4 linked regions of the Alligator mississippiensis genome follow. The main gene of each other region encodes a partner of the protein of the gene in region 4 in a complex. Links are inferred from orthologs where the notes say so. Each region holds a gene or a part of one and is shown on either strand. Other genes may lie near its edges.

Evidence for each region.
Region 1: MYBL1 (region 4) and LIN9 share a complex: the UniProt entries of both Homo sapiens proteins name them as parts of the DREAM complex. The link is inferred for Alligator mississippiensis from reciprocal best matches to the Homo sapiens genes MYBL1 and LIN9.
Region 2: MYBL1 (region 4) and E2F4 share a complex: the UniProt entries of both Homo sapiens proteins name them as parts of the DREAM complex. The link is inferred for Alligator mississippiensis from reciprocal best matches to the Homo sapiens genes MYBL1 and E2F4.
Region 3: MYBL1 (region 4) and LIN54 share a complex: the UniProt entries of both Homo sapiens proteins name them as parts of the DREAM complex. The link is inferred for Alligator mississippiensis from reciprocal best matches to the Homo sapiens genes MYBL1 and LIN54.

The regions. Positions count from the first base shown.
Region 1 is NC_081824.1:179,696,462-179,704,049, reverse strand, and holds the start of LIN9 (protein lin-9 homolog), read right to left. Parts: upstream 3,077-7,588; 5' UTR 3,049-3,076; coding exon 2,970-3,048; intron 1-2,969. UniProt on the Homo sapiens protein: Acts as a tumor suppressor. Inhibits DNA synthesis. Its ability to inhibit oncogenic transformation is mediated through its association with RB1. Plays a role in the expression of genes required for the G1/S transition.
Region 2 is NC_081833.1:31,514,636-31,521,914, reverse strand, and holds the start of E2F4 (transcription factor E2F4), read right to left. Parts: upstream 3,182-7,279; coding exon 3,053-3,181; intron 337-3,052; coding exon 227-336; intron 1-226. UniProt on the Homo sapiens protein: Transcription activator that binds DNA cooperatively with DP proteins through the E2 recognition site, 5'-TTTC[CG]CGC-3' found in the promoter region of a number of genes whose products are involved in cell cycle regulation or in DNA replication.
Region 3 is NC_081825.1:146,549,120-146,556,979, forward strand, and holds the start of LIN54 (protein lin-54 homolog), read right to left. Parts: upstream 3,097-7,860; 5' UTR 2,368-3,096; intron 1-2,367. Other genes in the region: COPS4 (COP9 signalosome complex subunit 4), read left to right, coding at 3,654-3,745. UniProt on the Homo sapiens protein: Component of the DREAM complex, a multiprotein complex that can both act as a transcription activator or repressor depending on the context. In G0 phase, the complex binds to more than 800 promoters and is required for repression of E2F target genes.
Region 4 is NC_081826.1:64,075,021-64,082,656, forward strand, and holds the start of MYBL1 (myb-related protein A), read left to right. Parts: upstream 1-4,339; 5' UTR 4,340-4,615; coding exon 4,616-4,635; intron 4,636-7,636. UniProt on the Homo sapiens protein: Transcription factor that specifically recognizes the sequence 5'-YAAC[GT]G-3'.

The sequences.
Region 1 (7,588 bases), on a different chromosome or scaffold from region 4:
GGACATCCGCAAGAGAATGTATGCAACTCACAGGTGCATATTAAGCATACAGGCATGTTTGGTGAATATTGATGTACTGGGAAAGAGCCTCTTTCAGGTGTTGGCTCTATATTCTGTGAATGCATGAAGATGAACGTGTTGGGTGCATCTATGTGGGAACTTGCACATATACAGGAATGTGCCCATGTATGGGATGCATATCTGCAGATGCTGCATCTTCTGTCTGAGTATGGTATCCTCTACTTTGACTGGCTCCCTTTAGAAATAGGGCTGACCTTCTCTACCCTACCCCTTTGTTCATATATACCTCTATCATGTCCTAGTGTAGGTTTCATCTCTGTTAGCTGAACAATTCTAATTGTTTAAGATTTCTCCTCATATTAATTTTTCCATGCATCTAATTACTTTTATTGCCCCTCTAGATATTTTTACTTCCTTGGTATTTTTTCAAATAAAAGCAACAAGAATTTGAACCTCGTACAACAGTGACAGCATTACCGTGGAAGTTTATAATTGAATTATTTATATATGGTATTATTCTCAGCCTTGGGGTCATGACAGTTCTTCAGCAAGGGGTTGCACCATGCCCCCCTTGAAAAATCATGTGAATCACAGATTCTAAGTGCCATAGAAACTCGGTGCCATACTGGGTCAGACCAGTCCAGCCCACCTGAGCACCTGTGCCATGGTCCAAGTTTCACTGGATGGCATTCACTAGCTCCTTGGACTTGTTTGAGGACCGGCAAGCGCTGGCTGCTGTACTCTGATCAGTGTTCTCCCCTTGGAATACACACTATAAACCTGTGACTCATACTCTAGTCCATGTTCCACTTTAGTTGTCCTAAGTTATCAGTTGCTTTGCCTCTACTGGCCTCCCTGATTAATGGAGGCTTTGAGTTCCCTTGGTGGGCCCAGGCTAATGTTTCTCTGGGCATAACAAATAGACCTGTCTGTGACAGCACCAGGAGCAGCAAATGCTTTAGAGCAGGACTGTCCAACTGGTGGCCTGCGACCTGTGGGAGGGTAAATTGCAGCCCCTAGGCTCCCCCTGTCCAGTTAACTGTTCTGGATGCTACTGCGGCCAGGGTCTCCAGATTCCTCCTTCTTCTCTGGCCTTCACTTCCTCCTGCTGCCCCAGGGTGCAGGACAGCATGACTCAGAGCATCTGGCTGACAGCATGCCTTCAATGCTGAGGGAACATGCACAACAGGGGAGCATACAGCCAAAGACATTAGGGGCAGGGGGCCACCCACCTGCTTGTGCAAGCAATAGCAGCTGGGGACAAGAGAATATCTGTCCACTTATAGAGTGCAACAGGCAGGAAGCTGTCTGTCATAATGGTGCCAAGGGAGTTTGTAGCTAGGGAAGTTAGGGGAGGCCATGGCCCTTATGGTATGCAGCGTGGCCCCCAGCCAATAAGCTGGACAGCCCCGCTTTAGAGGGAGGACATATGAACAGTGTATATCTATCATGATCTCTCTATCATGCCTGCTCTGGCATCCACCATCATTGGGTTAGAGGTGCCAGAGGATACATCCCCAGCTCTTCTGTTTAAGATATTAATGGATCTGTAATCCATGAATTTGTCTAGTTCATTTCTGAAACTTTAAAAGCCAATATAAATGTTTGTGCATCATAATGCCTAGAAGTGATTTGAAAAAAAACAAAACAAAAATCAAACAAAAAAACCCAAACAAACCAATATTAAGTAGTTGTTTTCATTGGTTTGTAAAAAAAGAAAGTCGGGCCTCTCTTTCCTGCCTGGTTACCATTTATTTAGAGCCACCCATCTGCCAAAGCAGTTCAAGCAATTATGGGCACTGTGTCCTCCTTGCACTGCTCTGCACTGGTCTTAATGTACGGATTGGTTCCCCAGGTGCTTCATAGATGAGGGGCTGGAAGGGACCTCATGAGATCGAGTCCAGCCCCATCTGACATAGGCGGAAAGTCTGCTGGGGTCTTCTTCCGATGACATTACACTATTTCCCTTCAGGCCTTTTGCTTGTGACGAAGAGAAGTTTCCATCACAATCCTTATGCAACATTCCTGATGTCCTTTATGTGCTGCTCACTCCAACCTTACGCTCCTCCACCACATCGGCTACATTTTTGAGGTGTAACACCACTTTGTGTCATTTCTCAATCAACGAAGTCATTTTCCTTCCAGTCCTGCTTCTTTTTTGGTGGCGGCATCCACACACAGCACTGCCCACCTGGAGATGCCGACCTGCCTTTCAGTCTATTTTTGTTTGCTCAGGCTGCACCAAAAGTGGTGTCCGGTCAGCATGTGGTGCCCGCACCAATTTCTACACCTGGTCACCTGTACAGCAAAATGTCTATACAGACTAGAGGGTAGGGGAAAGAGGGTCTTAACTTTTTTCTTCTGAGGCTCAAGATCCCCCTTTGCAAAATGCCAGCTTATCTTACAATCTTCCCCTCCCCCTGAGGGCAGACAAACACCAGCATCACCCGACTGTGGCAAAGAGTCAGTGGAGCCTGCGCAGGTAGGGACACCCCACATCCTTAATGTGAACCTCTGGATTTGTCCCCAAATCACCCCCCAAACAAAACGAGCACAGCAGGGCACCCCACAGCACCGGGGAAAGGACCCCTGGGCACCCAGGGGTGCCACAGCCCTGGGTGCAGACAGGGCAGGGATGGGCACAGGAACGTAGCACGGGGGGGGAGGAGGCCGCGTCCAGCCCCGCTCACAGCAGCCCCAGCCCCCGCTGCCTCACCCCTGCCCGGCGGGGGCATCTGCGGTCCTGGTCCCCCGCCGCGCCGGGCGCTGTCAGGGCCCCGCAGGGCAGCGGGTCCCGGCCCCCCCCATGCCGCGGGCAGGGGCCAGGACAGGGGCAGGGGCAGGGGCAGCCCCGGCCAGAGGAGAGGGGAAGGGGAAGGGGAAGGGGACAGGCCGGAGCGGAGGGGAGCAGGCAGGGCCGGCGGCGAGGGGCCCAGGCAGGCACTCACTCTCGTCCGGCAGCTGATCGAGCTCCGCCATCTTGAACGAGCCGCGCCGCTTTTTCAAAGGCTGCCTGGCGCGGGGCATTGTGGGGCGGCGGCGGTAGGCGGGGCCTGCGCGCGGCGCTGAGCTGACTGGGGCGGCGGCGGCGGCGCGCGGGACGAGCGCGCGGGGCGGGGCCGGGCCCCCGGGCAGTGGTCTTCGGCTCCCCTGTGCTTCCCGTCTGTCCAGCGCGCGCTGAGGGAGCGGAGTGTACCGTTCGGGCCCGGGAGCCAGCCCCGGTCCGCTCCACACGGGCGCACATCCACGAGACCTCCACTCCTACACACACGACACCCCCCCCCCACCCACGAGCCCCCTACTCCTACACACATACCTGAGGCCCCCACTCTTAGAAAAACACCTATGGGACCCCCACTCACACACACACACACGGGACCCCCACTCCATACATGCTTAACCCATAGGACCCCCCCCACTCCTACATACACACCCCATGAGACCCTCCACTACCTACATGTGCACACCCATGAGACCCCTATTCCTACACACACCTCAGACCCCCACTTCCTTGCACACCCACTCCTATACACACATCTGAGACCCCCCACTTACCCATAGGACCCTTGCTGTTACACACACACCCACAAGACCCCCACTTCTATACAGGTATGCACCCACAAGACCCCCCACTCACACAAACACCCATGAGACCCCCGCTCCCTCCACACATACACCCACAAGACCCCGCTCCCTACACACAAACACACCCCCATGAGACCCTCACTCACACGCACCTGAGACCCCCACTCCTACACACGCCCACAAGACCCAAATTCACACACTAACAGTACATAACAAATAAGGATTATTATTACTAGGATGAGATTGGTAACAATGAGAATAACAACTATTAATAGTAATAATACTAAATAATAATAAAAAGTAAAGAGTGGTGATGAAAGAATAAAGCTCCAGTACATCTGTCATAAAGATTTTCCATTTCACAAGCCTTTCCCTCTAATAAACGAAGGGAACCAGTCAGCCAAGTCAGTTGCACTGAGGATCTCAATGGCTTGAGTGGAAAGGAAGCCTGGAAATTATTTCAGTCCGAGATGGTAAAACTGGCAGGGGTCTGTGTTCCCAAAGCCGCAGGGTGGCAGAAAGGCCTTGTAGGAAGGGACTTCAGCCCTAACTAAATGACAAGCTTACAAGTGCTGGAAGAAGAGAAGCTAGGAGACCAAGAAGCACAGGGTTAAAGTGAGAATCGCCCAAGTCAAGCAGAATTAGATTGACCGGAGTCAAATATAACAAAGAGCAAAACATTCTTCAATGACATAAAAGAGAAAAAGGAAAGTTTAGAGGGAGCCGCTAGGTCATGAGGATACACAGAAATTGAGGATGCTGTGTGCGTGAATCAAAGGCCAAAACAAAGTTAGATGTTCCTTCGATAAGGATGACCTTGTGGCAAAGGCAAGATAGATAAGAACGAGGGCATCAAAATGCAAATAACCTCAAATTAGATGGGAGCAAAAGTCAGAGTATAATGCAGGGGTAGGCAACCCCTGGTACACATGGTAGAATGTGGCACTCGAAGGCATTTTACTTGGCACGTGTGCCTCGGGGCCGACAGCGGGGAGCCGCAAGGGGCCTGATCCTTGTAGCAGGGAACCCCGGGCCCCTTCCCCCCTGTCCGTCTCAAAGTGCACATGCACCCACTGCCACCAACAAGCTGGGCCAGGGCTCTGTGGATCCCAGTGCAGGTGCTTGCAGTCTCCCTACCACCTGCTGCAAGCAGCCCAAACTCCATGGTTGGTGGCAGGGGCCTGCAGAGCGCAGGCTGGCTGTGGTAAGCAGCCAGGAGGCTGCAAGTGGCTGCATTAGGCTCTGCGGAGCCCCAGCCTGGATCACTGCTGGAGGCAGGTGCACACATGCCTTGGGGCAGATGGTGTGGAAGGGGCCCAAGGCAAGGGCTCCATGGCCACAACAAGGATCAGGCCCCTCGCAGTTCCCTGATGTCTGCCCCTGGCATGCCAACATCTTCCAAGACAAGGTTGTGGGGTTTTTTTACTCAAAATGTTGCTGATCCCTGGTTTAATGCATTCAAGCTGAGAAGACCTGGTAATTCCCAGAATTCTGAAAGAACTAGCCCATTAAATAATAGGTCCAGTAGAAAATTTTTGAATACGTCTACTAAGTTGGGTCTGGTACCATTTGATTAGAAAACAGCAAATATGGTACCTATAGTTGAAAGGAAATTTTAATTTGGGCAACTACTCTCCTATTAGTTTTAAAACAAATTTTAAGAGAAAGAGCAACCAAAGTGGATGGGAATGGAAAATAGGGTAAAATTCAACATGGGATTGCCAAAAATAGGTTATGTCAAAGTAACCTGACAGCTTTTTTTGATAACTGATTTTCTAGACAGATTAAATATATTTGATCTCATTTTATCTGTGCTTCAGTAAATGCTACAGTACTGCATGAAAAATTATTAGCGAAGCAGGAGAAAATAAGGATTAGGAGAAAAATTATGAGGTCAGCAAGGACCTAGATAAAGAAAACACTGGGTAACCCTAAGAAGGAAAATATCAGGCTGAAAGGAGTTTACCAATGGAGTTTCTAAAGGATCAATTTTGGGACTAATCTTGTTTGTATTTTAATTAATGATCCAGATATTTAAGTAAAAGTGTGGTGACTCCAAAGTGTAGGTTTCATAGTTTCATAGTTTCTAGGGTCAGAAGGGACCTGAACAGATCATCAAGTCCGACTCCCTGCCCTGGGCAGGAACGAGTGCTGGGATCATAATACCCCAGTGAGACATCTATCCAACCTCCTCTTGAAGACCCCCAAGGTAGGGAAGAGCACCACCTCCCTTGGGAGCCCATTCCAGAGCCTGGCAGCTCTAACCGTAAAGTAATGCCTCCTGATATCAAGCCTGAACCTGCTCCCAATCAATTTGTGGCCATTATTCCTTGTTAACCCAGGTGGTGCCCTGGGGAACAGAGCCTCACCTATTTTCTGCTGGTCCTCTCTGGTGAGTTATGGATAGCCACCAGATCCCATCTCAGTCTCCTCTTGTGGAGGCTGAATAGATTCAGGCCCTTTAGTCTATCTTCGTAGGGCCTGGCCTGCTGCCCCCACCCCCCCACGCGACCATGCAAGTGTCCTTCCTCTGGACCCTCTCAATACTAGCCACATCCTTCTTGAAGTGCAGCACCCAGAACTGGACACAGTACTCCAACTGCGGCCTGACCAACGCCACATAGAGAGGGAGGATCACCTCCCTGGACCTGCTTGTGATGCACCTGCAGATGCACGACAAGGTGCAGTTAGCCTTACTGATCGCTTCATTGCACTGGTGGCTGATGTCCATCCTGGAGTCAACAATGACTCCAAGTTCCCTTTCAGCCTCTGTGTTGACAAGAGGGGTGTTCCCCAGCCTACAGGTGTGTTTCTGGTTCCTTCTTCCTAGATGCAGCATCCTGAACTTGTCTGCGTTGAATTCCATCCTATTCTCATCCGCCCACCTCTGCAACCTGTCTAGATCTAGCTGGATTCTGTTCCTCCCCTCCAGTGTGCCCACTTCTCCCCACATCTTTGTGTCATCAATGAATTTGGACAGTGTGCTTTCCGTGTACACCTCCAAGTCACTGATAAAGATGTTGAATAGCACAGGCCTGAGGACTGAGCCCTGGGAAACTCAGGTCCAGAAGAGGACTAGAATATCTTACAGGAAGAACTGGATAACCTTGAGAATTGGAGTAACAGAAATGAAATACAATTCAGTAGTACAAAATGCAAGGTCACGTACTTGGGAACTAATAACAAAGTTCAGCTGGAAGCTAGGATCCTATCACTTGGGAACAACTGATGAGGACAACTTGGGTGTATTAGTTTGTCACAAAAATATTATGACCTGCCAATCTGATGCAACTATAAGGCAAATGCAATCCTAGAATGGATCGGTAAAGTTATTTCCAGTAGAGGTAAGGAAGCATTAGGGTTATTGTAAAAGAAACTAGGAAGATTTTGTCTGGAATATTCTACACAGTTCTGATTACCCATGTTCAAGAACGATGAATTCAAACTAGAACAGATGCAGAGAAGTGCTATTAGGATGATAAAGACAAGGGAGAGCATATTAGAGGAGACTAAGAGAGCTCAATTTGTTTGTCTAGCAGAACAAAGGCAGAAAAACTTGGAACACAAACAAGTGAGTATAAATTGGCAATGAATAAACCTAGGCTGAAATTAGAAGGTTCCTAAGAGTAGAGAGGTTTTGGAGCAGCTTCCAATCAGCCCCACCTCCCCCTGGCCCCCGGCACACATTTGAAAGATGGAAATTGGTAAATTTGTGGAGGGGACACCAACAGTTGACTGTGTGTGGCATCATCCATAGTAGACTAGTGAACTCTCCAGGAGTTCCCTTCCAGTATTTTATCCTAATTATAATATTTTGTCTGCAAGTAACCCTACAACACCTATGCCATTTAGTTCAGCAACCACAACTACTTGGTTAAACAAATCTCTCAGTATTCTTTTCTGTCTTGCAGTCACCATGACCTATCGAGGGAGAGTTTGGGGTGACAGAAGACAGGTCCTACCCTAAATTTAGAGAATGAGC
Region 2 (7,279 bases), on a different chromosome or scaffold from region 4:
CTATAAGGTCCATGTGACACGACAGTTAGAATACCAGGTGCTTGCGGCCCTATCCAAAGTAACACTGTCACTATAATAACCATAGGTGGAGCTTCAACAGTGGGAACAGTTAGGGGAGGAGGGGCGATGAGAGTACATGCAGATAGGCCCTGAGAGAAACTCACTCAGGGTGAGGCTTTTTCCTTCCATAATTTTCTAACACTGCCAAAGCATTTCTACCACTCACTTCCACTGGATACTGTTCTTGGATTTCTTCTCAATGAGCCCAATGCCCTCCAGTACGTTGGTGATGTCATAGATTCGCCGTTTCTGCCGCACTGCCAAGGTATCTGCTGCCTGTGGAAAAATCAAAGATGGACAATCGGTTCCAGACTCCTTCTTATGCTCCATCCTTTCGCCAGGCCTGGACATCATACCAGTACAGATCAGGCTCTATGATTCTGGTGGCATCTGTCTCCCACCTCAAGTTGCAAATTAGATTGTGTGTCAAGGGACATGAAACCAGTCACTGATCTACTCTCTGACTGCTAATTATATCTTCCCTGCAATTCAGTCTTCAACCCAAATCCCCTATTAATCACAAACTAAATCCTAACCATCTCCCCAATCTCATCTGGTTCTGATGCAGACTGGACAACCTCCTGACAGCAGAGTCATACTAAGAGAGAGTAGGATTAAATGCTCAATTCTACAGGAACTTTGTGAGGTGACCTTCCAATTTAATGTACACTCTACTGGAATGGCAAAACCTTGAGGTTAAGAGGAGGAAACAGGGAGGTGAAAAAGCTGGAGGAAGAAAACACTGACACTAATCCTGCACTGTCAGGAACAGGTCTGGATATTCCAACAGGTCTTTTCTATCTAAATGTCACAAGTCTTGGTATAAAGTGCCAATACCTCTCCTTCATATAAGTTACTAGTATCTCTTAAATGAAGGTTGCTCAACCAATATTACAAAACGCCATCCCTTGGCCCTCAAAATTTCAGCCACCATGCCTCACTTTTTTTTTTTTTTTGAGGAAAAGGAAGGTTGTGAGGAGGGGACTCATGTAGTACTTGATGTCTCCAGATTTGTTTAGCACACTTCTGAGGCAGTGTCTCACCCCTCAAACCTAGGACCCAGTCTCCTCACAAAACTCTAATTAGCAGAACTGATTTGTTAATAAGGTCTGCTCACACACAAAACACATATTCTCTTCCATTCTCTCAACAAACCTCTGGATGCCCATCAATTTGCTCCAGTTCCCATCCAAAATAATCCTGCAAAAATGGGACTGAAATTGGTGTCACACTAGCACAGAAGTTACAGATTTGCAACAACAAAACTGGCACCAACACTCTAGGTGATACTATACATGCACAGGTCACTGAAGAGTTTTCATGTCGAGTCAGCTCTCCATGGCAGTGCCAATCATTAGTTCAAGTAATGCTGACAAACAAGAGTCCCATTTGCAAGCCATTTTTTAGACAAAGCAAGCATACCTTTTTTTGACAAAATCCAAATGACTTTGCTTTGTATGCAATAGCAAGAAGTGGATTCTATGGGTCCTTTCCACTCCTGTATTTCTATAATGCCTCTTGTATCTGACTGGATCTATATGAAATGGATCACCAGCAGGAATACAGATCCACACACACAACATGAGCATAAAATACACGTGTAAACACATTTTCAAGTGTGGACAAGGCTTGGGTTTAAACATTGGCTATAGTACAGAGTCCACGCTGCTTTCTTTAAAAAACAATGATCTCCAGTCAACACCTAGGCCAATTCTCTTCTCCCTGAGCCACCACAAATGCCACAGAGCACAAGGTGAAAATGATTTGCCTATAGTTTATGGAAGTGATAGGTTTGGCCCCGTCTGAATGGCTGTTTTAGCTCCGAGGACCAGAAAACAATAAAGAACAATACTTTTCTCTCAAGGGCTCTGAACAATATATTACATCACTCTATTTTCATTTCTTCTGTGTGCAAGAGATCACTAGGGGAAGACAACCAGGATTTGGGCTGTGGTATGAAAGTGATATAGAATACAACTACATCTGATTCACGGTATTATCTGTGTTCAAGGCACTCAGCTTTCATGCTCTCTCGCCAAGACTACAGCTTGAAGGAAACCAAGATGACTGAACATGAACCAACACTGACTGAGATAGTGATGCAGGGTTGGAGGAAGCAGTCAACACAGCAGAGATGATACCTGCCCTCTCTGACTGAGGTCTGTCCTAAACTCAGGAGTTCTGCTGCATCTGTAGCCACTCTCAGACCCGAAATAAATTACTTTTCTCTGAATACAGCAAGCCAACTGCAGCTTTTCCAGATGCACTTTCCATTTCAGACACTCCTTCATGGGATCTTAAGAAGCTGCCAAGCCTCCCAGATGGCAGAGATCACACCTGCTACTTACAGCACCGACTGCAGCACAATAAGATACCGGCAAGACTCACCCCAGTGCCCACAGTGCCGCTGCCCAGACAAGAAGCGCCAGCAGGAGAAGCAGTTCTCAAGACTGAGCGCTCTGCATTAGCTCTCTGAACAGCGACGTAACCAGGCAGCTGGATGCACTTACCCGTGGCCACTGTGCTGGGTACAGGGCCTCACACCTATGCTCTGGGAGAGGGAAGACAGGCAGCTATCCGCAGCCCCCCACCTCCCTCCCTCCCTGCAGCAGCTCAATGAAGTAGCTGCCAAAGGCAAAGATGGCAGACCTCAGCGAGGCAGACGTGCACCTTACAGGCCAGCAGACGACGGCAGAGAGAGCCCACCAGCTCCTGTGCCTGGCGCTGGCCCAGGGGCCGCCCCGCAGGTGTGAAGTGGAGCGAGACTGGGCGGGGCCAGCGCGGAGGAAACGCAGCGGGCGCTGCAGCACGAGCCGAGGCTGCCGCCGTCCCCCAGCCCGGCCGCGGCTCCCCTGCGCGGCCGCTGCCCCCGCCCCCGCCCCCGGCCCGGCCCCGTCGCCAGGCGCCGCGCGGGCGCTGGCACTGAGCGGCCCCGGGACACCCCCGCCAGCCGGCCCGGCCCGGCCCGGCCCGGCCCGGCCCGGCCCCGCACCAGCTTGAGGTCGAGCACGCCGTCCTTGGCCTCCTGCAGCAGCGACACGAACTTGGTGGTGAGCAGCCCCAGGCTCTTCTCGTGCCGGCTCGGGGCGCCCCCCGGGGGCTGCGGCCCGGCCTCCGCCATCTCCCCGGCCCGGCGGCCCCGCGCCGCTTCCGCTTCCGGCCGCCGGGCACGACGGGAAACGCCGGCCGGGGGGAGCGGGGCCGGGGGCCGGGCCCAGCCCCGCGCCTCGGGGGCCTCCCGGGCAGGTGGGCGCTCCCCCCCCCCGTGTTGTGCAGACGTGTCTCCGCGCGCCCAGGGCAGGCCCAGCACTGCCTCGCTGGTGCCACGCGGCTGCGCGCCTGGCGGGAGGGTCGTGGCTGGCGGCGGCGGCGGCCGGCCTGTGCGGTGCGCGCTCGCCGCCTCGGCTCGTGGCAACTGCCGGCCTCGGGGGCGCCGGCGGCACTTGGCAGTGCGCGGAGCGGCAGGGCAGGGGAGGGCGCAGCCTCGTCTTGAGTCACAGTCGTCCTTTCTGAGACCGGCCCGTCCCGTCCCGTCCCGGTAGCTTGGGGGCGAATGGCACCCCAGCGCTTTGTCCCCATGAAAAATGCAGCCAGGAGGCAGGTGGGTCTGGATCAACATCGTGGTGGGTTGGCTTATGTCCTTTGGCACAAGCCCTAAATATACAACAGCTACAAACATAAAATCTGAGCTTTAGTTTTCTTTTGGAAATTTTGCATATTTTTTCCTTTTCTGTATGTGTTACATGAAGCATCTCTCACAAATTCATGGGAAAGGTACAATTTCCAAGAGCTACATTCTGATTTATATAACAGTACAGCACAAAACCAATGCATCGCCCAGTAAACAGACTAGAAACTGGCTCACTGATAGGCCTCAGAAATGAACTGTGGGGTGGCCATCAAGGGACCTCAAGAATAGAGGACAGTTTCATTTAGTGCATAGGGATTTTTTTAAAACTAAATTTAGTGCTAATTCATAATAACCACATCTATAGAAGCTACCAAAAAGTTAAATGTTCGAGTGTTCAGTTTGTGTTTTTTTGACACAATGTGATGATATACAGCTCCGTTTCCTGGGCTGCTGACATCGATATCACAGGGTACAGGATGTGTGATGTTCACCCTTTCTGCTTTTCGCTATGAAATCACATTCTTTTGACCATTCTGAATTGAAGGTCGTCTTGGACATTTTGAATTAAGGGTGATGTCAAACTGATTTTGAAGACAAACATTTAACGGCAGGAAGCAACAGCTGTAACGTAAGGACGTCATTAGGAAGCATGACAAATAGGATCTTTGTTGGCATTCTCAGGTCCGATACAAACACGGGATTGATTAAATGTCAAACATATTGACGAATGAAGACAAGCCATCTTAAGTTCAATTGTGGGTTGAAAGGTTGAGTGTCTCCAGAGAAAAATAGAGGACATCAAGGCATCTGGTTTCATATCACTAGAGGACAGAGAACAGAGTAGCAGAAAACCAGACTGTCCTCTATAAAACCGGATGAATGGCTACCCTAGTTAAAGGGGAATGGGTGATCTGGCTTTAGTCTACCAGTAATCAGTATTTTCAGTAATGATTTAGAAGAAAGTCTGTAATCATGGAGTATTGAAGCTTGTAGGTGACATGGAGGAGCGTGCAGTGGTTAATACTGATGAGGAGAGGCCACAAAGGTCAGCACAAAGAAATCTGCTGATATAGAGCTGTCAGAATGGGATTTTTATGACTTTTCAATGCCAGCAAAAGCTTTAGTGTAGATGCAGGTGTATTAGCATACAAGTGCTTTTGCTGGTATGGATTTCACTCAAGGAACTAGTATAGGCTATACCAGTGGTGCTCAACCTTTTCCCCCTGTTAGTCGGATGGGCAGCGTCCTGTCCACCTGCAGGCTGGATCCCGCCAGTGGTCCTGATCTGGCACCAGGGTGGGTGGGTGCAGTGGGCACCATCCAGCCACGCGGAGGGGAGTTGGCGGGGGGGGGCAATGCAGCCACAACCTGGCCCTGAAGGGGAAAGAGGTATGGCTTGGCCCCATGAGGGGAGTGGGGTGGAAGGGTAGTGGCCCACCCCTAAACTGGTTTGGATGGGGAGGAGAGAGAGCATGGTCCAGTCCTGATCCAGATGTGGGGAAGGAGGCATGGCCCAGCAGCAACCAGCAGTGTAGGACTTGGGGTTTAGGAATTTGGTATGGGGAGGGTGACCATGTTAATGACCACTGCTTTCCTGGCACCAAATTTCCCACCCCATTGGGACTCCTGGGGGCAAGATATGATGGCTTGCAGGCTATATTTGGCCCATGGGTTGGAGATTGAGTAGCTTTGTAATGCATCTACATTTGCAACATGCTGTCATCTGATCCTTAATACTGATTTGCAAAAAAAGGCAATGAGATGGGGGCAGGAGGGACCCACACACTTTTTTGCATTAACTCTTTTTCAATTGGCCATGATGCTCTGGGCAAATGGGCTAACGCAATTCTTAGATGTATAAGCTGAAGGAAGGAGGTGGGATTAACTCTAGTTAAAAATAGGGTTCAAGTGAGCCACAACAATGATTGTTGAGTACTAGAACTTAGAAAACTCAGTGTATTTACTTGCCAAAGAAAGATGATGAAGAGGCAGCTTGATCTATAAGTACCTACATGAAGAAAGGCTTTCTGGTAGCAGAGAGCTCCTTAACCTAGCTAACAAAGGTAAAATGAAATCCAGTGACTTGTAGTGAAGCCAAATGAATTCAGAGTAAAAATACTGTATGCATTTTAATAGTATGAATGATTAATAACACATAATTATTTTAATAGATTAGAACTCTTTGCCAGGAATGTGCTAGGTTGTATATGACTTAAAAACTTCATTAAATGGACATTCATTGTCTTTATAAGGGACGTGTTTCAGCCATAGATTTGCAGGCTAGGTACACGAATTACAGAACAAAAAACCTTTACCTTTTGTTATACAGGAGATCAAACAAGATGGTTCTAGTGGTCCTTTCTGGTCTAACAACTCCTAGATCTGATTGGGTTTATATGTTTCAAATAAAATTGCACCTTAAAGTATGATAAACAAGCTTTGATGCCAAGTGAAAACTGTGAAAGCTTGTCCAGACCTACAAATGACATTTAAATGACCAAATTAAAACAACAGTGCATCTTGCACAAGAATGCAAGATTGTGACTGGGACCATGCAAAATAAAGCAATCCCATTTGATTTAATTTCTTGTGCTAGTTGCAAATGTACCCAATGTTTTATTATGCTAAACCACTCATAAATAACTGTATATTCCTATGTGACTATATCCTCCTTGCTGACACATTCTCCCTGGATTAAGGCATATTTGTCAGAACAGTTATTCAGTGTTTGTTTGGAGTTTTGCAAATGTCTCCATAAACCATCACCAACTTAGACTATTTTGGGTTCTGCCCTATTGTTAAAATAACTACCCAAAACACTGTTCTGTGATCAGTTCTACAAGGTATCTTGTTCAGTCAATCAAGACCCATCCTATTTGATTGAAGTGTAACCTCTGGACTGATCAAAAGTTTGGAAAAATAAGTTTCACAACTAGACGACCCAAAACAGGATCTGAGCAGTTAGTAATTGTAATGTGGTCCCTCCCTACCTGCTTTGTTTGAACTTTAATTTACTAACTATCAAGAAGGAATGCTTTGAAGCTATACAGTTAAATTGTATAAGAATGAAAGAGAGTTGCTGGCAAAAGTGTGCACTTCAGGAGAGAGAGAAAAATCTCTGCAACATTGTAATGTGCACCCAGCCCGATTGAACCCCCGGCCCAGCGCATTAGGCAGGACCCTGGGATACGTGGAGTCCAGATCCCAAGCAGCAGCAAAGAAGAGACCAGGATCCTGGTGTACACGGATGACCTGAACATCCTGTGCCACAATAAGTGGTCAGTAGAAAGAGCCCTGTGGCGCGCACAGGTTTATGAAGTGGTAGCAGGGACCAAGGTCAATGTAAGTAAAAGCATCTGTCTGGGTGTGGGAGAGCTTGGGGACCTAATGTCCCTGGGGGTCTCTGTCCCTCATGAGGGGGTCAAGATCCTTGGGGTGGAGTTCAACCCTGAGCTGAGTGGAAGGAAGGCATAGAAAAAGACAAAGGCCAAAGTTAAGCAGAGGTTGGGTCTGTGGCACATGCGCTGCCTCTCCATGGGGAGGCACCTGGCACTCATAAAGGCAGTGTTGCTACTGGTGCTTCTGTAC
Region 3 (7,860 bases), on a different chromosome or scaffold from region 4:
AAAAAAAAAAAATGTTGAGAATCACTGTTCTGGAGCCAAGTACAAATTTTCCAACAAAACAGTTTTTTCACAGGAAGGGAGGCACCGATTAAAAGAAACAAAAACTTTTTGGCAGTAGCATTAGTTTTTACAAGGAGTTTAGCAGAAAGTTCTTTCAGGTTCAGAACAGAACTAGAAATGCCATGCCAGAACAGTTGATAGCCCAATGACTAGGATTTATATTTGGGGATGTTGAAGATGTATTCAGAACCCTGTAGACAGCAGTGAATCCCATCAATTCCACACAGCTGCTGAGCAGAACTACCAACAGCAGCTGAGACAGACTGAGTTATTCAGATGAGGACCTCCCAGAAAACAAAGGGTAGGAATGAAATAGAATAGAGATTCTCTTCTCCTGTTTCTCATGGGCTGCTGAAACAAATTAAAACAACCCCCAGAAGTTCTTCTCTGTAGATATTTACATGGTTCCTGTCAGTATAATGTATTAATATTTGGGAAGAGCTAATAAATGCATTAACTCCAGCAGGGAAAGGTTAAGTGACCACCCTAAAGTCACACACACCTGAAACAAAACCAGGAGTTAAGGGCTACAAAGAGATCTGAATTTAACTCTGAGATGATCCTTCAACAGATAAAGATTAAATAGCTTGATGAAGCTCTTTCATAAACAGTGCAAGTCACATTCTAATCCAAGAACTGGAGCAAAAGACTGAGTCTGTTGTCAGAAACCAGGGACATCCTCCAGGTACAAATCCAAGAGTTTCTCTCTTTCCCAGCTTTCATGTCTACCCTTGGGCTAATAAGATTGGTAGAATTTTCAAGCACCATTTCAACTGCAACAGATATTAACCACTAATAAGGAAAAATTTTGATCAGTCTAAGCTGGTACGACAAACATGTTTAAGGGTTGAGAGGAAGTTACTGAAATTTGTTATAATGCAAGAATCGAAAATAGAGGGGGGAAATACTGACATCTGTAATATACGTAGTCAAACATAACTTTGATGGAGCAAAGTATTAAAGCCTAAAAAAATTAATGTATTATTCAAACAAACATCCCACCATTCTTGAACGCCCAGTTCCATTCCATTCTTAATGGGTTCATAGAATGCATTCATCACTATAGCATGTAAACACATTCTGGTAATGTTAAGCAATTTACCTAATAAGAGTCACTTGTTGCTAGTTCCTGTATCATGTTCAGCAGGAATTTGAACTCTCAAATAGTTCATTGTATCCTAAACAGTACTTATGAACATCACAGAGACCAACAGACTTAACATCTCTAATACTACTTGAGCCTGGACAGAAAGTTTTAACCCTCAATGTGTAAGATGACAAGAGAAAGCAGCATGCATTTCAGTGTTTTCCTCCTGTTCAGACTACTGTCTAGCAGCTGTTTCACGTGGCCTATAAGTGCAATTCCTCATGAAACTGCATCATTCCTGATGCCCCAAAACAAAAAGGTATTATTTCACATGCAGAGATATGCAGGCTCAAGGAAGAGTTCCACCTTTGAAAGAAAAACAAACAGTCAGAAATCCACATGTATCAAAGGATTCCAGATTGAAAGGATTCAGTTTGAAAATAAACACACACACACAAAAAACTTGCTTTCACCAAGGGCAAAGTCCATGCCAAGTATGACATTTTAGACATTATAAGGAAAATTTCCTTAAAAAATGACATGTAAAAGGCTTTCATTCAAAAGATATTTTCCAGAAAGTCACATAAATATCTGACAGTTTGGTCTCGGAGCCAACATGAGCTCTCACTTTTACTGTATAGTAGAAGTGTATTATAACACCCAACGCATTTCAGAAGCACAGAGTAACGCACAGATACAATGAGACCAAAGTACATTATAATCATGCTATCCTGTTTTGTTAGGGCTATAATTTGGAGCCTGATCCTGCAAAGTGCTGGGCAATGGGGAATTATGGGTGCTTAGCACTGCCGAGTCTTTGCCACACGCTGGAAACAGAGTTGAAACCTGGCTAGGTGCCATGTGCACAAAACCCAAGAATGCCACCTGTGATGCTGTGGATTAACAGCATACACTCAGCTCCCTACACAAGGGAAGCAATATAGCCAGTCCCTGCCAGCACCATACTTCCTACTCAAGAGGAGCCATACACCCAATCCCCATCAGGGTTTTTTTTGGGGGGGTAATTCAGTATATGTAGCTGGGCCCCCTACTCACTATGGCAAACTCACTTTACCTCCTTCTCCTTCTGAAGCCTGTTACCCCTGCAGAGCTACAGCCAGCCTCCAAAGGCAAGAAGAAGAGAAAAAAGACTGCCCTCTGATAAAAATACCAACCCATCCAGCAGGCTTCAACACAAGCCGCTGCTTAGCTTTACTCACCTGCCAGCAGGACAACGAGCAGCAGGAGGGGATGGGGCAAGTCGGAACAGGGCTTGAAAGACCCAATGCTCAATGGGAGCAGGGCACTGCCAGCAACCACCCTGCACCGAGGCAAAGCAGAGGCCCCCTGCCCCAGAGGCGGCGACGGGTACAAGGCACTGGGCCCAACACAAGTAGTGGCCCAGCCTGGGCCGCTAGCACCCCGGTTCCACGGCCCAGCCCGGCGCAGGCTCCTCCTGCCCGTTACTCTCGGTTGCAGTGAGGGGTCCCGGGCAGCGGCTGCTCCGTCAGGGCCCGGGACTGGATTTCGAAAGATCCGCCATTTTCACCTCGTCACCGCCGCCACCGCCCCGCCCCGGGCCTGGGGGCGGGGAGAGGGAGCCCGCCACAGCGGGCGGCGGCACAACAGCCCCCGCGCGCCCCCCCATGACCTTGATGAGGGTCGCAGGGAGAGAATTGGGGCGAGTGAGTGAGTGAGTGTCCCCACAACCGCCCGCTGTCCGGAGAGCGCAAGAGAGAAGCCGCCGGGGGGTGTCCCGGCACGGCGGAGCCGGGGCGGCTTCTCCTCGCCCTTCGCACCGGCCCTGGCGGGAGCCCAGAGCAACCTCCCGGCAGCGACGGAGCCAGAGCAGCCCGCAGCGCCCCCCAGCTCCGCACGGACGTGACAGCGGTGCAGCGCGCGGGACCCGACGCCGCTGCCCGCGGACGAGCGGCGCGGAGAGGCCGACAGCAGCCGCCTCGCCTCCAGGAGCCGCAGCTGGGCTCGACCCAGGGCAGGGAGGACCCGGGCCGGCCCCTGCAGCCCAATGCCGGGCGGGAAGCGGCTGCGTCGGCGGCGCACGTAGGCCGAGTTCTCCCTCCCCCCCGCGCTGCGCGTCCCCCACGGTCCTCCCGCGCTGTCACTCACCAGGCGGGCGCGGCCGCCCCGCCCCCGGCCCGCGCCGCGCCGCGCCCCCCCTGCCCCGTGCGGCGGCAGCACCAGGGACCGGCTCCGCGTTTGTTCAAAATCACGCGCCCCGCGCCATTCCACCGCCACATCCCATAATACTGAGCCGCGCCGCCCTGGCAACCGGCCCCGCGTCACCCAACCAGCGCGCACGCGCAGCCCCTGCCCCCTCCCACTCCCACTTCCCTTAAGCCTGGACGCTTCCTTCCGGCGGTGGCTGCTACTGCTGCTCTTGCTTCCAATACCTCCGGCCGCTTCCGGGCTCATGACGGCATCACGCTGGCACGTGACCTGATAGCGCCCGGCGGCTCCGGACTAAAGGCCAAGGCTACGCGCGGAGATGGGGGCGCGGAGGCGGTTGCGCATGCGCCCGGCGCGGTCCTGGGACGATTCCCCCCCCCCCCCGACCGGGCAGTGGGTTCAGGGCGGTGGGTGCGTTTCTCTCACGCAAGCACGTACTCGCTCTCCTCTCCTGTGGCTTGCTTGATCCTTGGTGCGTCTTGTGCTGTGGGCCCCCTCCTGGTCAGGTAGCCGGTGGTGTCAGCAAATGATGCCCTGGGGGCTAGTCCGGAAGATAAGCATCCCTGTAATGTTTGAGTACCCGCGGGTATGGCGTTCACTGACAAAGGGAGCATGGAAATCCGTATCTACAGGCCTAGGCAGACAAGATTCTTTGGATAAATCCCGTATCTTTTATTAGACCAACTCAAATAGTTGGACAAATTCTTCTTAGCACTCAGGCACAAACACCCTTCATCAGGCTGACAAAGCATCTGCAGATAGTCTGTTCTTCCTGGATGGAGTGGCCTATGGCTGCTTTACCACTCCATCCAGGAAGAGCACAGACCATCTGCAGGCACTTCCTCAGCCTGACAAAAGGTGTTTGTGCCTGAAAGCTTGTTAAGCAGAATTTTTCCAATTATTTGAGTTGGTCTAATATAAGATACATGGGATTTAGGCAGACAAAATTCTTTGGGTATGTCCTTAGACCAACAGCTACAACCTACACCCTTATTTACAGACAGGCTCAGAGTAGTCTATAGCAAGATAAAGTCTGTTGGGAAGGACAGCATGTAAATCCTATATACATTTATACATATATATGCATTTATATGTGCATCTATCTATCATGATTCATGCATGTGCGTGTGGATTTGTGTGCATATGTGGATTTGTGTGTTTAGATTGCATCTTTTATGTATTTAGAGATATATGCCAGGCTTGGCATTCAGCAGTGCCACTTGCAGCAGACAGGGCCAGGCTTGGTGCTTGGCTGGTGCAGCCCCATCCCATGAGCCCAGTGCTGTTTGCAGGGGATGAGGACAGGGACAGGGCTGCGCTTGGCTGTGGTGGCCATCCCCTGTGGCTGGGCTCCCCACTCACAGGGGATGAGGCAGTGCCAGCTGAGTGGTGAGCCCAGGCCAGCCCCTGTCCTGTGAGCATTGCCAGGCTCAAGTGACACCATGGGCTGCACCACAGGGGATGGGGCTGTGCCAGTAGAGCGATAAGCCTAGCCCCAATTCATACACTGTGCCTATGAAAATCCTTACCTTTCAGATCGGAAAGCCTTGCGTCAACCTACAGTGTGTTGGCCTATCCACCGTGAAATGCAGTAATTATTTTTGACACATGTCGCAGGGCACCTCGGTGCTCCTGCTCCTAAAGAGGAGAAACTGCCAGGGAGAGAGAGAGAACCCTGGCAGGACCTAAAGAGCCAGCTGCGGGTTACCGGGGCAACTAAGGGGAGCCAGCTGCCTGTAGGAGGCAGGGCCTGGCCCTTATAAACCCCAGGGCTAAGGCCAGGCTGGCAGTTCCCTGCTAGCAGTCAGAGGGGCAGAAGCTCCTGGAGCTAGGAGCTGAGCAATGTAGGAACTGCTCTAGCTGAGAGAAGGATGGCAGCTCTGAGAGGTTTGAGCACCATGGTTTAGCCAGGAGGCTTTATGTTTGAGTTATAGCCAGGAGGCTCGAGTTTATGTTCGGCTTTGATATTAAACCGGAGGTTTGGGTGAGGCTGTAAGGGTTGGAGGAGGCCTCATAGGGGTGGGGTGCCCCAGCGCCAGTTAGGGCGCAGTCTAGGGCCAAGAGGGTGCATTATCCTCATAGGGACCCCAGAGAGTGTGGGGACCCCAGCACCTGAGGAGGGCACAGTGTCCTCATAAAGGGCCCCATGGGAGTGTGGGGGCCCCAGTGCCTGAGTGAGGGCACAGTACTTTAAGGGGGAACCCCAGTGGTATGGGGACCCCAGCGCCAGTGAAGGCGCAACTGGCGGCAAGGAGCGCAACTAGTGGGTTGCAGGTGGGGAACAGAGACCCTGGGTTGTGTGCGGGGTACGTAGACCCCAGCCCCGGAGAGGGGCAGCTTTGAGAGGCCCCAGTGTGGGCATGACGAGCCCCAGAAGGGGGCACTGCTAGGAAGCCCTAGCGTAGATGTGGCGAGCCCCAGAAAGGGGGAGCGCACTCTAGAGGAGCCCAGCGTGGGCCCAGCGAGTCCCCGAGAAAGGGGGGGACTATTGAGAAGCCCAAGGTGGGCATGGCGAGCCCTGAAGAGGGGGAGTGCCATATTAGGAAGCCCAGGACGGGCACAGCAGACGCCAGCAAGGGCGTCACTTGCGGGGTGCATAGACCCCAGCCCCAGGGAGGGGCATTTTTAAGAGCCCAGGCTGGGTGTAGAGAGCCCCAAACAGGGGGCGGTATTAGTGAGGAGCCCAGAGGGGCACAGCGAGCCCCGGAGAGGGGGCGGTATTATTGAGGGGCCCAAGACAGGCGTAGTGAGCACGGCCGTAGGCTAGTGCGGCAACAGCCCTCAGACAGGGGCAGGGTGCTGCGATGGACCCCGACAGAAGGGGGTTAGTAGTACGATGCCCCAAGAGAAAGGCAAGGTGCTGCGGTGGTTCCCGGAGAAAGGGGATAGCAGTGCGGTGAGCCGGGATCAGAGAGGGTAGCTGTGCGGTTGGCCTAAAGGACCGGAGACCCGCTAGAGGGTCCCTGAGCAGGACCACACTTTTAGAGAAGGCCCAGAGTGGGTCTCAAGAGTCCCAGTGAGGGGCACTGTATTAGAGAGAGCCCAGGAAGGGGCACTAGTAGAGAAACACATGGAGAAGGCCCAAGAGTGGGCTAGATTACAGGAGAGGACCCGAGGAAGCAGGCGTGTATTGCGACCGGACAACGTCTTTCCCATCAGCGAGGCTTGAGGCGTTGGTATTAGGGGTGGTAGGAGCCACGCGTAGCCCATAAGGCTAGGGTGCCTGGGGAGCACCCATTACACCGGGAGACCCCCAGGGGGGGTCCAGGAACACACAAGGACAGAGGTCCCGAGTAGCTGTGCCCAGGGAGTCATAGGCAGCCTCCCAACTATATACAAACATCAAAGACGTGGCAGGCGAGAATTAGAGGGTGCCTTGGGCCGGCCTTGACATGGAGCGAGGGCCGTGATCTCCTCGAGGTCCCTCCTGCAGGACCCCACCATGACAACACACTACAAAACTTTATAACTCTTTTGAAATAGAAGTAAATGTCTAAGGTTGCAAAAGCAATCAAAGCTTGGCATGACCTGAGTGTCCTATCCTGCAAAAGTAAGACGGCTTTATTTTTTTAATGGAATACTAACTAAAATAATTTAAGCAAAGTGTCTCTAAGCATACTGGATTAAAATCTTTCTTTGAAGCATTTGCAAGTCAAGTGTTGCAAAAAGAGGGTTTTCTATTTGTGCAGGAAAATAAATGAAACCTCCTAGTTTTATTATCCCAGAAGAAAACCAGCTGCATGTGAACACACTTTAATGCAAATGTTTATACCTATTGGAATATTTGAAGTGGGTGTTCAGCATTTCCAGAAGGCAAATCATTTATAATTTAATACCTGGCTTCAAGCACCCATATTAGAACATGTTGGCCTGCAAACACTGTTGTTGTTATTGCTGTCATTTTTATTATTTTCCACAGGTTACATCTTTGGCATCCTTTTGTCTATGGCAGACAGTGGATATTGCAGCCTATGATGTAGCTGGTTTGCAGTGTCTCACGTGACTGAACAGTCCAATCTGAGATTTGTGTGATCTGTGGCAGCAGTTACAAATGTATATGTTATGGTTGGGTGGTTCGGGAGCTGCTTGCTTCCTACTGGCTCTTTTCTCTTCAAGTTGTTGGAGCCAATTTCTGTTGTGGACTTTGATGCCCTGGTGGAGACAACGATGCCACTTGTTCCCATCACTTGCCAAGGTTTCCTACTGGTCAGGATCAATTCCAAATGCCTTCATATCTCACTTGCATGTATCTTCGTAGCAAAGCTTGGGACCAGCACCGTATCTAGACACCTGGCAGCCCCAGGCAAACTTTTAGTATTGGGCCCCGCTTCACCAGAGATGATGATGATAACAATAAAAAAATTACCATGTCTAAGTCCCCAGTTTGCTGGTGCCTGTGTCCAGTCCCGCTTGCGACATCCTGCTATTCCTGTTCCCTCCAACAGTTCCCTGTATAGCATGATCTTGGGTGTGCGTCCATCTTCCAATCTGCTCAGATGGCCTACCCAGAGTAGTTATCTGTGTTT
Region 4 (7,636 bases):
TGCATTTTTGGAATCAGAAGTGAATGTCTGTTCACTTGCTTCTCAGTTCAATCTACACAGTTTAAACTAACCTGACCTTTGCAGGTCTGAGGTGGTCAATACAACATTCAGTGCTTGCCTGTCAAGGAGTTATGTTGTATTGACCACCAAAAACAAATAGAACAAACAAAACCTGAGGTCCCAGTACAGAGAAACTGAGAAGAGCTATGCACATACTTAGTTCTATACACACAGTAGGATTATGATTCTTTAAATGCACCCTGCCTGCGCATTTATTTTTGCAGGATCTGAGCCTACACTTTTGGGCAATGCCTTCCTTGGCAACGTGTAGGGCAGGGGTGCACAAAATGCAGCCCAGGGGCTGGATGCGGCCCGCCAGGCCATCTATCTGGCCTGTGGGGCCCCGAAAAAATTCAGAAAATTAATATTTATCAGCCCCTGGCTGCCTATCATGCAGCCCTCGATGGCTTGCCAAAACTCAGTAAGCGGTCCTCTGCCCAAAATAATTGCCCGCCCTGGTGTAGGGGGTGCACATGAGTGCACCTGCACTCCCTGAGATTGGTGATGCACCCGCTGAGACTGACTGCTGGCGGTGCCTGCAGGCAGTGGCCTCTCACTGCCCCCCCCAACACTGCCGGCGGTGTCTGCGGGTGGTCGCTGATTGCCATTGAGTGCCACCAATGCTGCTGGCACTATCTGCGGGTGGTCACCGATCGCTGGTTGGCGCTTGCTACCCGCTCTTTGCCACCAACACTGGCGTAGCTGCCTGCAGGAGCTCCCCACTCGCCACTGTCACACCTCTGACACCACTGCCACTGCCTGTGGGCGGTCTCCGTTCATGAATGTCTTGTTTTACTTTCCTGGGATCCTGCCTTTTCCTTTATTCCCATCTGTCTAAAGGAACTACGAAGTCCAGGAAAGAGTCTTAAAGCCTCTTTAAATGCTTCACTCAGGGTGTGAGGAGTCATCATCCGCCAGAGATCCACAACCTAGAATCCTCTGCTATTTTCTTTTTCAAGGAGCTGAGCAGAGCTTACTGTTTTACAAAGTGGCCAGAAGAGGGAGATGGTGTCCTTTCTGTTTTTATTCAGTGACAGTGGTTAGAGTCACCCAAGGAGTGAGAGATTTCTGTTCAAAATGAACTTGCTGTTCAGGAGAGAGCAGAACATCAGGCTGCCAAGTATTCTGAATGCTGGCACACCCCCACCTCCTGTTGAACTATTTTCTGCGGAGTGGTGTAGCTTCAAAATTCAATGGATTAAAAAGAGAGGGCATTACTGAGGAATGTGACAGTAGACCAGGGCCCTCACCTTGCAGCTACCCCCATGCCCAGAACCATTTATCTAATGACTGGTGTAGTGACAAATACAAAATAGTTTTGGGAGTAGGCACCATAATTCAGGACTCTCCCTTTCCAGCTAAGTGCCATACGGAACCATCCCTAGAGGGGGTGAATCGGAGCAAATGCTCCAAGCCCCGCACTTTGGAGGGCCCTATGAAGCCGGGTGGAGTGGTCAAGGTGATTCCGTGCTACTGCTGGCTTCATGTTTGGCAGCTTGCCACCCCCCGCCCCTGCCAAATCTGCTGCCGGCTTCCTTGCATTTGGGGGCCAGGCCCCACACCCTGCTCGGATTGTCTCTGGTGCCATAACTACAAGGCTCACAATGTCATGCTTCCTCTTCTCTTTCTTACTTAATCTTGAATTCTTTTCTGCACAGTGGGGCACAGCTTCAAGAAAAGGAGTGAAAAGTCTTCCTACCCTAGAATTGCCTTCAGTTTTTAGTTGGAGCACTTTCCAGGGAGAGATGTGTTATGGATCTTCCTCAGGTAGAGAAGAAATTAATTGCATTTTCCCTCAGCCTACTTAACTGATCAGATCAGTAGGTTATAGCATACAAGGTGGTGGTGGTGGGGGGGCACTATTAACACCTCTTTTAGATATGTGTGAAAGGAAATGGTGGCAGCTAATGTGTCCTGTGAAGTGATGGATTCACTCAAGTGTGTCAGGTGTGCTTTGAGAATACCTGCAGGACTGAGCCTTGGGGCATTTAGACCAAAGAATGCCTAGTCAGATCTTGATCAGGTTGAGCTGGGTGCTTAGCTGCTCAGCCCTTGCAAAACTGAGGTGCTTAGGAAGAACTTGCAGGTGCCAGGAGACTTTAAGATAACAAACTGCAGTGTCTATGGAGTTCGTAGGCCTTCAGGGTTAGATGGCAGCTGTGTGGGGCTTCTCGCAGCTTCGGACGTAAGTGCACAAATTCCACTTCAGCCTTCTAGTATCCTGTGAGCTAAAGGTTTTCCTAACGTGTAAAGTGTTTATGGTAGGTGCCAGCAGTTTAACATGATTAAAAAAGCCTGACAGGTGTGATTAGACTAGTGGTTTTCAACCTTTATTCTTTTGCAGATCCCTAAAAAAATTTGAATGGAGGTATGGACCCCTTTGAATTGTAAGTCTGGGTATTCACATACTTTTGATTCATCATAGTCATCTTTCATGGAGCCCTTAGACATAGTCTCTAGACCCCCAGGGATCTGCAGACCACAGGTTGAAAACCACTGGATTAGACAAAGGCAGGCAAGGCTCTTTGAATAGATGTGATAGATTTTATTAGAACAATGGAGTAGTTGGAAAAAAATTCTTGGCAAGCTTTCGGGTGTAATTGCCCTTCTTCAGGCATAAGGAGTCTCTCCTGTTCTGATAGTCCAAGGAATGAAAGAAGCTAAAAAAAGTATGGTAGGATGTCAGTGAGAATGGAAATAGTTAGAAATTGGGTAAAGCAGGGAAGGGAAGGGGGAAAAAAGGTGAGTAGGGGACTCACTACAGAGGTAGTAATTCATCTGGAATGCATCTATTATAATCAACACTGTTTCATTTCTCATTTTAGACCACAGAAAATATCAGTTCAATTCTGTTTTGCTAGCTAGTCTTTTACTTGGTAGTGCCCACTCTGGGTTGCAAGTACAGGAGGGAGGAATGTGGCCTGTTTCCACTGAGATCTATGGCAAGCAAAAACCGACCTTTGGATCAGGCAGGGGCCTGCCCAGGCTTCTCCTAGTTGCGGGGATTTGTGGTTTGGGGTGACTGGAAAGGATTTTGCCCCATAATCCCAGCCTAATCTCATCTTCCTGTTCAGGACAATATACTTGATGCATAATATTATTTTACATTTTTATTAGTAAATATACTGTTTTTGTTGACATTCTTTTTTGCACGTGTAATTCAGTGCCAGATTATGTCATGCTAAAGCCCTAAACTATGTCCAGTTTAAGAGGCCCAATATGATAAAAATAAACCAATGTATATTTTTTCATATTAGAACAAGAATGTCTATATTTAGACAGTCATTTTCTCATATCTCCTTTATCTAAATTATAATAATCTAAAAGATTATTATAAAACTTGATATTGAGTCAGGGTTTTTTACTCTTATTTAGAAGCCCCTCCTGTTGTGAAGCCCTAAACTGTAGTTTAAGCCTAAATTCAGCACTGGTTTAATTCATTGCTAAAAACCTTGAATTGTGTCAAGATTAGCTTTGAATGAAAAGCCAGGAGAAGGAACCAACTTCAAGACAAAAATGCAGGTGAGCTCCAGAGAAGTGGGAGCCTGTCCCTGCACTGCACCATCCCCAGGTTCTGATCACGGGCCTTTATTGAATTGCCCTGTCACTCGTGGCAGCTGTGTGAGGACTAGACCGGGCAGCTCCCTTTGCCATCGGAGCAATAGTCACACACACCTGTGGCTGCTTGCCTGCTCCCCCCCCCCCCCCCCTTGCCCAGAGTGGGTGGCAGGCAGCCCCAGCCCAGCAGCAGATGCACAAAGAAGGGCCAGGCAATCTAGCAGGCCTGTCCCTTCGATAGCTCAGCTGGTAGAGCGGAGGACTGTAGAGGTACAGCCTAGACCCACAGGGATCCTTAGGTCGCTGGTTCGATTCCGGCTCGGAGGAGACATGGTTTTGTGCCGGACGCATGGTTTTGTGCCGGGCACATTTTACAGCGACGGGACCTCACCAGTAACCGCCTCAGCCCCACGAGGCGGGAAGGTGGGTGGAAACCAAGCGCAGTGGGCCACGCACTGGGCTCTGCGCATGCTCAGTGGCACCAGCCGCGGCCGCCGCTCTTTTCCAGCCCAGCCCTGTCAGCGCGAAATCTCGCTCCCCGTCATGTCACGCCCCGCCCCCACGCGCCTGCCCGCGCGGCCACTCTGGCGCCAGCCCGTCCGCTGCTGGCCCCGCCCCGCCTGAGCGCGCGCCTCGCCCCGCCCCTATCGCGTGCGGAGCCGGCAGCCAATGGGCGTGCAGTCCGCGTGCGCAGATTCAAACGGCAGCTCGGGAGCGAGGCTGGGCGCGAGATTCGGCGGCGCGGACCAGCCCAGCGGGCGGCGGCGCGGCGAGGCCGAGGAGGCGGCGGGAGCCGGGCACGGCGCGGTACCTGCGGGGGCCGGGCGAGCCATGTCCCGGGCGACGGGGGCCGGGCCGGGCCGGGGCTAGGAGCGGCCCCGCAGCCGCCAGGAGGGCGGGAGCGGCAGCGGCAGCCGACCCCGCCACAGGTGCTGCTGCCGGTGGCGCGGCCTCCCCGCGGCCCCCGCCCGCCGGCTCCCTATGGTGCGCCTCAAGGATGGCTAAGAGACCGCGCAGGTGAGTGGCCGCTGCCCCGCCCCCGTCACCTGTCACCGCCCGTGGGGCACCCCCTGCACGGAGGTGGCGCCTGGTGTCCTGCCGTCTGCCCCGTGGGCAGCGTGGTGCGCCCCGGGGTCGCCGCCCGGCCCTGCCCTGCCCGCAGCCTTTCTTCCATGCCCTTCTGCTCCTTCCTCTTCCAAGTCCGTCCCTGGCGGGAGGCAGCGGTTCACTCTGGCTGGATAACCTGGAGGTCGATGATGCTCTGTGTGAAGGCCCCTGGCTGTCCACCCGGGTGCCGCGGGTGGGGTGCTTTCAGGTCCTTTCAAGGCTGCAGGCCATGCAGTGTGAACCACGGATAGAGTAAAGCATGTGCAGCCTCCTAAAATTGAGGCGGGCAGCATCTGATGAAGTGAACAAAAGCCAGCTCCTGCTCCTTCACCTGCATCTTGGATGTGGATAAATATGGCATTAAGTTTGACTGGTGTTATATAATAAATAAATACGGTATTAAGTTTCACTGAAGTGAACTTGGGCTTGCAAAAGCTTGCGCTGTCATGTACCATGCATGCGCACGTGTATGCACATGTCCCACATCATCTGTCATCTCTGTTGGTCTCATGTGGACCTTCTCCATCCCCTCTCCTTTTACCTGTGGCCCATTCACTGGACAAACATGTATGTCTTAGATTTGGGTAAATATGGTATTAATTTTCACTGAAGTGAACTTGGGTTTACACAGTCTTGTGCGTGCTTGTGTGCGCTCTCACCCACACATCTTGTATTTGGGCAAATGTGGTAATAACTGAATTTTCACTCTCTCTTCATCTCCAAAAGTGGACTTCTTTTAAACACGTTGTATGTTAAAATGTATTTGAATGTATAATATGAGAGAGTGCACACACGACCTTTCTTGACCCTCAGACAATGTCAGCTCTTAGTTTTCAGTCAATGTTTGATTATAGCAAGGTAACAGATCAAGTTCTTCCGTTGCAAAGAACTCGAAAAAGACCAGAAGAGGTCAGAGAGTTTTTAACGCTGAGGATTCCTGTTTGAAAACTCTGGATCTACGTTGTGAATCAGATGTGTACACCTGACATTCTGTGGTGTTTGTGCTGTGTCCTGACTGAGAATCACTAGTGCATAGTGATGCACCTTCGCTGAAGGAGGTGACATGAATTTCTTGTTCCAGTTGGGGTTTATTAAATTTAGTGCAATTAAGCTGTTTTTGATTTTTTTTCAAATAATTTCAGTCCTTTTCAAAAGCCTTTTCATTTTTTATATAGCTTTCAGCTGCCTAGAAGGGATGCCAAAGAATAAAGCCTTAAATCTTTTTTTTTTTTTTAAATCTTATGGCTACTAAACTTAGTTTAAAAAAAAACAAACTTGCTCTCTTACTCTTGCAGATAAAGCTGTCTAATTTCAAACTGTTTCACTTTGTTAAAAATGTCTGTGATCATAGTTCACTTGAACATGAACTGAGATGGTATGGGTAATTGAAAACCATCTATCTGTATTAGATTTTTGTTTTAAAAAAATCCCTCATTTACTTATGTAAATTGCATATTTTTGGACTCAATATATTGCTGTTCCTTTCCAGTTAGTCAAGTCTAACAGTACAATTTATGTTTTTTGAGACTGACTGACATAAGGACTGTATATAGAAATGCATAAAATTTGGTCACGTGTGTGTGTGTGTGTGTGTGTATATGTGTATATATATAATATGACGCTGTTCTCTGTGAAATGTAAACACTAGATTGGTCTTGGTAAACTACATGCATCTTTATAGAACTCTCAGGTGTGAAGTTGGTAGCAGCCATTATCAGTAGGGCCATGGTGACAGGCATACTGTAGAAATTACTCCTTTCAATAACTTCTGTAGTGTCATTCATTTCTGGAATCTAGATATTAATTAAAAAAAAAAAAAAGGCTTTTAGCATATGTATATAGAAAGACTTATAAGTATTAACTAGATGTGAATGATCTAGTATTATATTCCTGAATCTGCACATAGCTAGCATTTGTGTTCAATAAATACAAGCTACTTCATGCATTTCAAAAATACTCATTCTGAAACCTAACTATGATTGCTTATTCATAAGTATGGTTCTTCTCAGTGCTAGATTTTTCTCCAGGTTATTGCATAATCATTGTTGTTTTTGACAGTTTACCTTGCGCCAAGTTCCAGCTGACTCCTGTCTACTTCCCAACGCATCCAGTTTTTTTCATAAACTATATTATAGTATTATTATGTCTTTAAAAAGAGCAGATATGTGGCCTACTGAAGATGTAGGCCAGTGAAAAAATACTGAGTTTAATATTAAAATAACAATTTGATCAATTGCATTTATTTTCATATTTCATTCAAGAAGAAATCTGTTTTAAGACAATCCAAAGATGCTTAAGAACTTCCTTTCACTGTACTAGACAGTAAGTGACATGTGGTGTTGCTACATAATTTTGGTCAGGCTTCCCACAGAGTACACAGTGTCTTGGCTGTAATTCAGATGCAGATAAGCTTTAGTCTTGTTGCCTTTCTAAATAAATGTTAATCTCACGTTAAATAACTTGACCCATAAAAGCCATTCAAATGTGTAAAGTATTTAAAGGAAGGCCACTTTTTTAGATGATTGAGAATGAGCGAAATTAAATTAATACCATATATTTACCCAAATCTTACTCCCCAGTAATTATAATGCATAGAAATTCTATACATGGAAAAATTATAAATTTGTTACAATATTCCATGTGTCCAATTCAATTACTGAAGGATTGTCTTAAATTTATCCCCACCACTATTGCAGTGGGAAGAGCAGTTAAGAAAAGCATTGAGGCAACAGGAGGCAGTTGAGGGAGGGGGAGATGGTGCTGTGCGGGAGCAAGCAGCTTGTTGCCTGCTGCCTTTGCCCCCCTGCCTATCCCCCTAAGGCTCTGCTTCCCCATATCCCTTCCCCCCTGTTCTGTGTCTTTTGTTACTTAATTCACGCGCAGTGACTTGTTCTCTGTGGCCTGCTATTAG